Linked DNA regions of Yarrowia lipolytica. The protein of the gene in region 2 interacts with the protein of the main gene of each other region in a pairwise test. Links are inferred from orthologs where the notes say so. Each region holds a gene or a part of one and is shown on either strand. Other genes may lie near its edges.

What was found.
Region 1: the proteins of YALI1_F10671g (region 2) and YALI1_F13719g interact in binary tests that used the Saccharomyces cerevisiae proteins (3 or more experiments, as listed by UniProt). The link is inferred for Yarrowia lipolytica from reciprocal best matches to the Saccharomyces cerevisiae genes HGH1 and CNS1.

What each region holds. Positions count from the first base shown.
Region 1 is NC_090775.1:1,369,983-1,373,819, reverse strand, and holds YALI1_F13719g (uncharacterized protein), read right to left. Parts: upstream 1,863-3,837; coding exon 630-1,862; downstream 1-629. UniProt on the Saccharomyces cerevisiae protein: Co-chaperone that binds to the molecular chaperones Hsp90 (HSC82 and HSP82) and Hsp70 (SSA1). Stimulates SSA1 ATPase activity, but not Hsp90 ATPase activity. Involved in only a subset of Hsp90 functions.
Region 2 is NC_090775.1:1,065,467-1,068,911, reverse strand, and holds YALI1_F10671g (uncharacterized protein), read right to left. Parts: upstream 1,762-3,445; coding exon 676-1,761; downstream 1-675. Other genes in the region: YALI1_F10688g (uncharacterized protein), read right to left, coding at 1-33; YALI1_F10660g (uncharacterized protein), read left to right, coding at 2,861-3,445.

The DNA.
Region 1 (3,837 bases), about 300 kb from region 2:
CAGCACTCGTATGAGGAACAACAGACAAGTTCTGCAGCTTCTTCTATCCTGGTGACATGGTTCAGGTCTAGTCTGTATGTGAGGAGCCTTCAATGGTCCTAAACGCCATGTCCAAGAGTCCAAGAGTCCAAGGTCCAAGAGAGGGAACCGGGCTTTCGTTCGTGACATGTCTGAAGAGAAACTGGAATGACTGAATCTCAAACTGCTGGTTGGAGAGTCCGACCACTTCTCTACACTCCTGAAACCGCAACCAGAGGCTACCTATCCCACAGACTGTAGTCAAGAAGAGCCTGGCGATTCTCGTGCACTACTTGTGGCAATGGAGTCGCGTTTTCCATAGTCTGTTTCACCAGGTGGATTGTTCCATCTCCGGCAACTGTCTACAAGATGGGGTCGGCGTTAATAGCACTCCTTCCATTTGCTCTATATACCTATCCTTCCAGTGCTACCCTGTAACATGTCACGTCTGCCATTGAGCCGGTCTGCCGTTAGACGGGTCCTTTGCATGAGCAGATCCAGTGTCGTTCGAATATCGCTTCCTCTGTGGAGATATCGCTTTCCTCTGTGGAGATATCGCTCTCCTCTGTCGAGTCTCTGTCGAGTCTCTGCCGAGACACCGCTCGCTCCACCTAAATCATCTCCTTCTGAGCCTTGTCCTTGCTCCACGTCTTCAGCCACTGCTCCCGCTTCTCCTTAGGCACGCAATGCAGAGTGATGACATTGTCAATGAGCGGCACCTTTGGCTTGGGCGCAGACAGCACGCTCTCAAACGACACCTTCTTTCCAATCTTGACCAGACCTCCAGACTCAGTCTGCACAAACACCTCGAGGTTCTTGACGTCGTACTGGGCCACGTGGTCGCCGGAGAACCACATGGGCGGATGCTCAAACACGGTGTTGAGCGCCTGGCCCGGAGTGGAGCCGATATCGACCTCGGCCAGAAAGTCTGACTGAAGATCACAGGGATACAGCAGCAACACAGGCACAAGAAGAGTGGAGGTGGGGTCCAGAGGGTCCTCGAGATGGATGGAAACGCCGTCAGGCAGAGCAGGAGGCGCCTTGGTGGTGATTTGCAGGATCTTTCGCACCTTGATGGCGAGCTCCAGATTCTTCTCTGTAGCCTCGGCAATCTCCTTTCGTGCGAGCTCTCGCTTTTCCCGAGCAATGTTGTCGGCCAGCTTCTTTTTGGCGGCAGTTTCAATGTTTTTCATGGCATCATTGAACACCTCGCAAGACTTTGCGTAGTCGCACAGCTCGAGGGCTTCCTGGGCCCGCCCGACCGCCAAAAATGCCGTGCACGACCGGAAAATGGCCTTCTGGTTCTTGGGATCCAGAATCAGCGCCGCCTTGCAGTCGTTGATGCATCGTCGGTAGTTGCGGAGCTCCAGATTGCACGCCGCCTTGTTGATGTAGCAGGCGGTGTCAATGGCCACCACTCCACACTTGACCTCCAGCGCCTTGTCGTAGAACTGCAGCGCGTCGCCGTACCGCTTCTCCTTGTACGCTTCGTTGCCCTGGTTCTTGAAGTTGGTGGCCACCTCGTCGGGCTCGCCTTCGTACGCCAGAGCCTTGAGAGCCTCCAGGTGGTCGTTGGCTCCGCCGTCCTCGCCGCTCTCGTCGAGCTCCCGCATGAAAAACGGCACCTTGTTCATGTTCTTGAGAAACTCGTCGGTCGTCGCCGTCGAGTACTCGGATAATTGCGGCGGCAGTTTGGGGTCATTGGGTCCTGGGGCGTACCGGTGGGTGTCCCATCCTGCGGGCGGGCGGCTTTCCCGCGTGCTTTCGACCGCCGGAGGTGTGGCTGTGGGCGACCCCGGGGCGTCGTCAATGATTTCTTCAATCTGGGAGCTTTTGGGGGGCATTTTGGCACCGTGTTGGTTGAGATCAGAATTCCTACACAATTTTTACAAGATATGCATGTTTGAATCTTATCGCATGGGAGAATCCAGAATCGGCTGGTAGAAAGTAAAAAGGGGTTTGGGTTTTGTTCAGAATTCGACGGAAAATAAAATATATAAATAGAAATATTAAATAAAAAATGAAAGAAATAAAAATATAAATGAAATAAATGGAATAAATGAAATAAGAAATGAAATAAATGGAATAAGAATGAAATAAAAATGAAAAAAAATAAAATAAAAATAAAAATAAAAATAAAAAATAAAATAAAATAAAAATGAAATAAAAATTGTAATAAAAAAAATGAAATAAATGAAATAAAAAAAAAACTTTTTTTAAAAATATAAAAAAAAAATAAATATAAAAAAAATGAGTATAATATATATATAGTACAGGAGGAGTGCTCGTTTTTGCTTCGGCCATTCAGAGCATTTAGGTTACTACTCATATCCCCTCATTACTCCAAAAGCTCAAGTTGCGAAAATAAATAAAAAAGTAAAAAATAAAAAATAAAAAATAAAAAAAAATCAATAAACATCCGCAGTGCCACCAAAAGTTCTAATAAAAATACCCGTCAACGTCTAAAATTAATACAACCGTCATCATTCACTATTGATATACAACCGTAAACATTCCCTCCGTAGGAATTCCTTGGTACCCACGACCAAGTCGCCAGCAACAATGAAGTCCCTAAAAAGAGAACGAATCCACCAAGAGTAAGTCGCACTTGTCTCCATAAGAAGAAGTTTCCAAAAACTAGAAAAACAACTTGTAGAGACGACACCCGGATGGCTCTGGTAAAAGGCAAGAGCCATGTACGTCGATGTCGACCTCCGTTGTTGGGGAGGTAGAAATCACGGGTGGTGCACCCGCCTATATAGTGGTTGTCGGTAGGGTAACTGGGTGAAAAAGGTTAATCGGGTAGGGTAAATTTGGGAGGTGTGAAAATTTTAAAAAGACATTACCCGGCCGTCGGGTCGTCGACGCTTTTGTTTGGCAGTCTGTTTGTGTGCGATTCCCAAAGAGGCAACCGCCAAACAGGAGGTTGTGGGTTAGGGTTGAGGATGGGTGAAACAAGCGAAAAACGGCGGAGGTTCGGTTGGGCGGTGAAGGCAACAGTTCCAGTCCGAGTATGCCAACAGTTCCAGTCCGAGTATGCCAACAGTGCCAGTTCGAGTATGTATCGTGTCGCCCGTTGTCTCTCGCCGCTCGCTGCTCGCCGCTCCCTCAGGGGTCCCTGACAGGCTTCTGATCGACACGACCCCTGGACACACAATGAGCGCGAATCTTGGGTCCAGCATGCAGAGTTTGCAGTGAACATGTGTCGCGGATACATGATACATCTGGCGTTGCAGCACATGTAGGATACTTGTGGAGCTGGGTTGAGGAATGTGGGCCAGCAGAGGCGTTTTTGGGAGGGAGTTGGACGCGTCCATCATGTACTTGTGGATTGTCTCTGGCTGCTTTAGCTGCAGGGTCGCTTCAGAATGTTCTTCACAAGTGGAGGGAGACACGTGCCGATCGCCATCAGAGTTGGGGAGTAGGTGGAGTTTGAGGGGTGATTGCGAGGGAGGTCGATGTAGGATAGATCTTTCTGGGCTGATCTCGTAGCCGTCCTCTCGTAGCCGTCCTCTCGTAGCCGTCCTCTCGTAGCCGTCCTCTCGTAGCCGTCCTCTCGTAGCCGTCCTCTCCTTCACCTCATCTCCTTCACCCCCTTCACAGCTTTAGGTTGGATTTGCACAGAGATTGTCTCGAAGATGAACCCTCGTACTTGCACTCGTCTTGTACATACGATTCGAGCCCCTTGGACAATCTTTGGTGTGGCTGGATCCGGAGAAGGAGTATCGTAGTCCCGTCCGGTGCGAGACTAGGGCATCATGGGGAGGTTTGATCCGGTTGACACGCGAGGGTACGAGCTTGGCGCAACTCGGCCGGTGC
Region 2 (3,445 bases):
CTTTCGCTTTTTCGATGGTCCGGCTTCACTCATGTTGTGTAATATTAGTGTGTGCTGTGATGTGTCGTGTTGGACGTGATTTTTTAGCACTTGATTACTGTAATTTCGGCAGACGTGTATTAATTGAGTTCGCGATGCACGAGGGTTTGTAGGGTAGTTGGAGTGCTGGATACAATCAGGTTTCGCTAATAAATTGTCGCTGGAAGATAATAGGAAATGATTAATTTGACAGCGGAAAATATACTGCTCTTTTCAAATTTGGTTCTAGTAAAAAAAAGTGGCACTGTTTGGCCGACACTTGTGGTGCTTGTTCTGTTAGTCTAGTTCAGTTGTTTGTTGAGTGAAGTCAACTAATTGAATATACCGCTGCAGCTTCCTCGATGGTCATACAGTAGTAATTATTACACTCCACTCTGCGCAATGATGACACACAGAAACACCAACCACTATCCACAATCACATCATTCTATCATCTCTCAATTATTCATACAAATACATTTCATTAACTGCTTCTATACATATGAGCCCTGGCTCCAGTTGATGTGTATTGTGGGACCAGAGGTGCGGACAACTGTTCGATCTGCGCCATCTGGTGACATGATTAGATGTAAAACCTCCGAACAGACCATTCGCCCCGCTCGTGTTCCGGGCAATTATCACTCGCTTCGTTTATGATTAAATCACCTCGACAACCTCATCATCAGAGTCAACCTCCTTCACCTTGGCATCATCTCCAGCCTCCTTGGGCTCGTCCCGCATGAGCATCTGCACAACTCGGTCGCATCGCTCCTGGATGGTCTGGTCGTCGTGGTTCTTATGCAGCTCTCGAACAATAGGGTAGACGGATTTGGTTCGCATGTACTCTCGCATCTCCCGCGAAGTGGTCAGCAGCAGCAGAGACTCCAGATGAGTGCACATGATGTCGAGATCCTCCTCTCGTCGCTTGTCGGGCGTCAGCAGCTGCAGCTCTTCGGGCAGATCAAAGATCTCTTCGGGGTCCTCTAGGTCCTCAGGGCCCGCCAGGGGCAGCATGATGAAGGGCAGCAGGTTGATTTCGGGGTCAAGCACAAACTTGGAGTGCTTGTCGGTGTCAAACAGCGAGTTTTTGATTGTAGAAGCAACACCTTCTCGTCGGATTCGCGAGTCCACAAACTCGGTGAAGGGCAGCAGCTTCTGGATGGGGAACAGACCATCGTAGGGCTGCTCAGTGACAAAGTAGTCTCGACCTCGTCGGAATCGCGACAGATCGGCAAAGAAAAAGGCCAGGTAGTCGAAGTTGGAGAAGAGGTTGAGCTTGCCGGTAGCGCCCTTGACAAAGCAGTCCATGAGCGAATCGATGAGCTTTTCCGACTTGAACACCTCCGTGTTCTTGAGCTTCTTGGTGGCGTCGAAGATGGACACAATGTGGTCGTCCTTGGCCAGGTTGGCTAGCAGCATACAGCACAGATCGGCCTGCTTGTTCTCGAGATCGCAAATCTCGCAGGCAATCATGGCTACGAACATGGAGTTGGACGCCAGCATGTCGAGAATGTCTCTGTCATCGCATAGGTTGATGAGAATGGTCAGAGCGTTCTCCACATTGACTCTGGGGGTGCCCAGCATGACGGTGGCCACCAGATCCTTGACTCCCTGGTAGTCGTTGGCCTTGAACTGCTCGGCATGGCCCTGTGAGTAGCCCACGAGGGACTGTAGAGCAACCTGCTTGACGGCAGGGTGGTCGGAGTGCAGAAATTCGATTAGTTCTTGGAATTCGGAAGACATTGTGTGTGTTGTAGTTGTCTGGAAAACTTGGATTTATCGCAGTCTAATTTTGAAAATATATTTTTTGGGTTCATGGCACGTGACCCGGAAGGAGAAGGTAGTGTCAATAAATACGTTAATATGAATCCTATTGAGTGGGTGAAAACTTGAATCAAGTCTAAGGAGTCGCATGGACGTTTTGAAGTTGCCAATTACCAGATTTGAACTACGGAAGGCTTCGATACCAACACCCAAATATCTCCCCTCGCTAACTGATCAGAGTTTTGATGCCTGACCTGCATGGGTGGCAATGGTGGAAATAGATGGAATTTCTTGGAATTTTGTATTATCGCCTACGGATTGAAAAATGAGACAGCAGGAAGTGTTGCAGACTGGTAACGAACTCATCCCATGACTAGTATTGTCTCTATATGTGTTTGTCGTCTGACAAAAGTTTTTTTTTTTTTTTCTGCATATACATTCATTTAATTATAACTTTGCTGTGAAAGAATAACAAAAGAAGGCAGTTTGAGAGTCATTTGTTAAGTAATTACTTGAGACATTTACCGAAGTATAATTGGCGATTTAATTGAACATGGAAGTTGATATAGTCTCAGAGAAGCTGTATGTACTGGGGATAGGAGCAGGGGTGGGGGCGGTGGCACCTTTTATACCTGTATATCACACCCCCTAAATTCACTGCAACACCTATATCTAAACTCCGGGGAACATGGATCTACGTACATATCGTTTTCGTTGAGCGGGGGTGTCAGACGCATGTAGGCTGATAAGGGCGTGGAAAGTTTCCTGAATGAGAGCACCCCTCCGAGAAGAAGAGAGCAATTGTAGGCAATTATCGACCGAAAACCCACATAGGATGAAAAGCAGCCGTTGCGTAACGGGGTATTTAAACGTTCCTTATCTGTTTCAACTCTTCATATGAGTTCCAAGCCGCTCCACCCTCTAGTCTTCCCCCACCTTGCGCGTCGCATATTAAACTCCCGCTGCGGCTCGAGTGCGGAGATACCGTATGATAACAAAAGCCAATATATAATGCCTTGGAGTGGCATCGACGGTGTTGGCCAACTATCGTCGACAAAACCTGATTGCAACCTTCACCATGGTTCTCACATTCGAAATTGCTAGAGAGAAGTTCCTCAAGATCAGAGACGATTCCATTGCAGAGCTGGACAAAGTGTTTCCTCCACCCGAGGACTCGAGACATCATGAAGTTCCCGCAAAGTTGCCCAAGAACTCCATCCCCGTGTTCCAGGAGATGCTGGCCCATGACGATGCAGCTATCATCAATTCGGACCCAATCGAGCTGCTCGATCAGCTTGCTAAGGCCAAGGTATCGGCTGTGGCTGTCGCAGGAGCGTTCCTAAGAGCTGCTGTTATTGCCCAGACTCTCACAAACTGCCTGACGGAGCTGCTTCCTCGAGAGGCACTGGAAACTGCTCAGAAACTTGATGACTATCTAAAATCCACAGGAAAGCCCGTGGGTCCTCTACATGGACTTCCCGTGTCCGTCAAGGAGATGGTGGGCTTCAAAGGCCGAACCTGCCACTTTTCCGTGTCTTCCAAGATCAACAACATCACTCCGGACAATGCTATCATCCTTAAAGTACTCTACAAAGCCGGAGCTAACCCTTACTGTCGAATACCGGTCCCCAATTTCTCATGTCGCTGGAATCAGAGTCGCCTC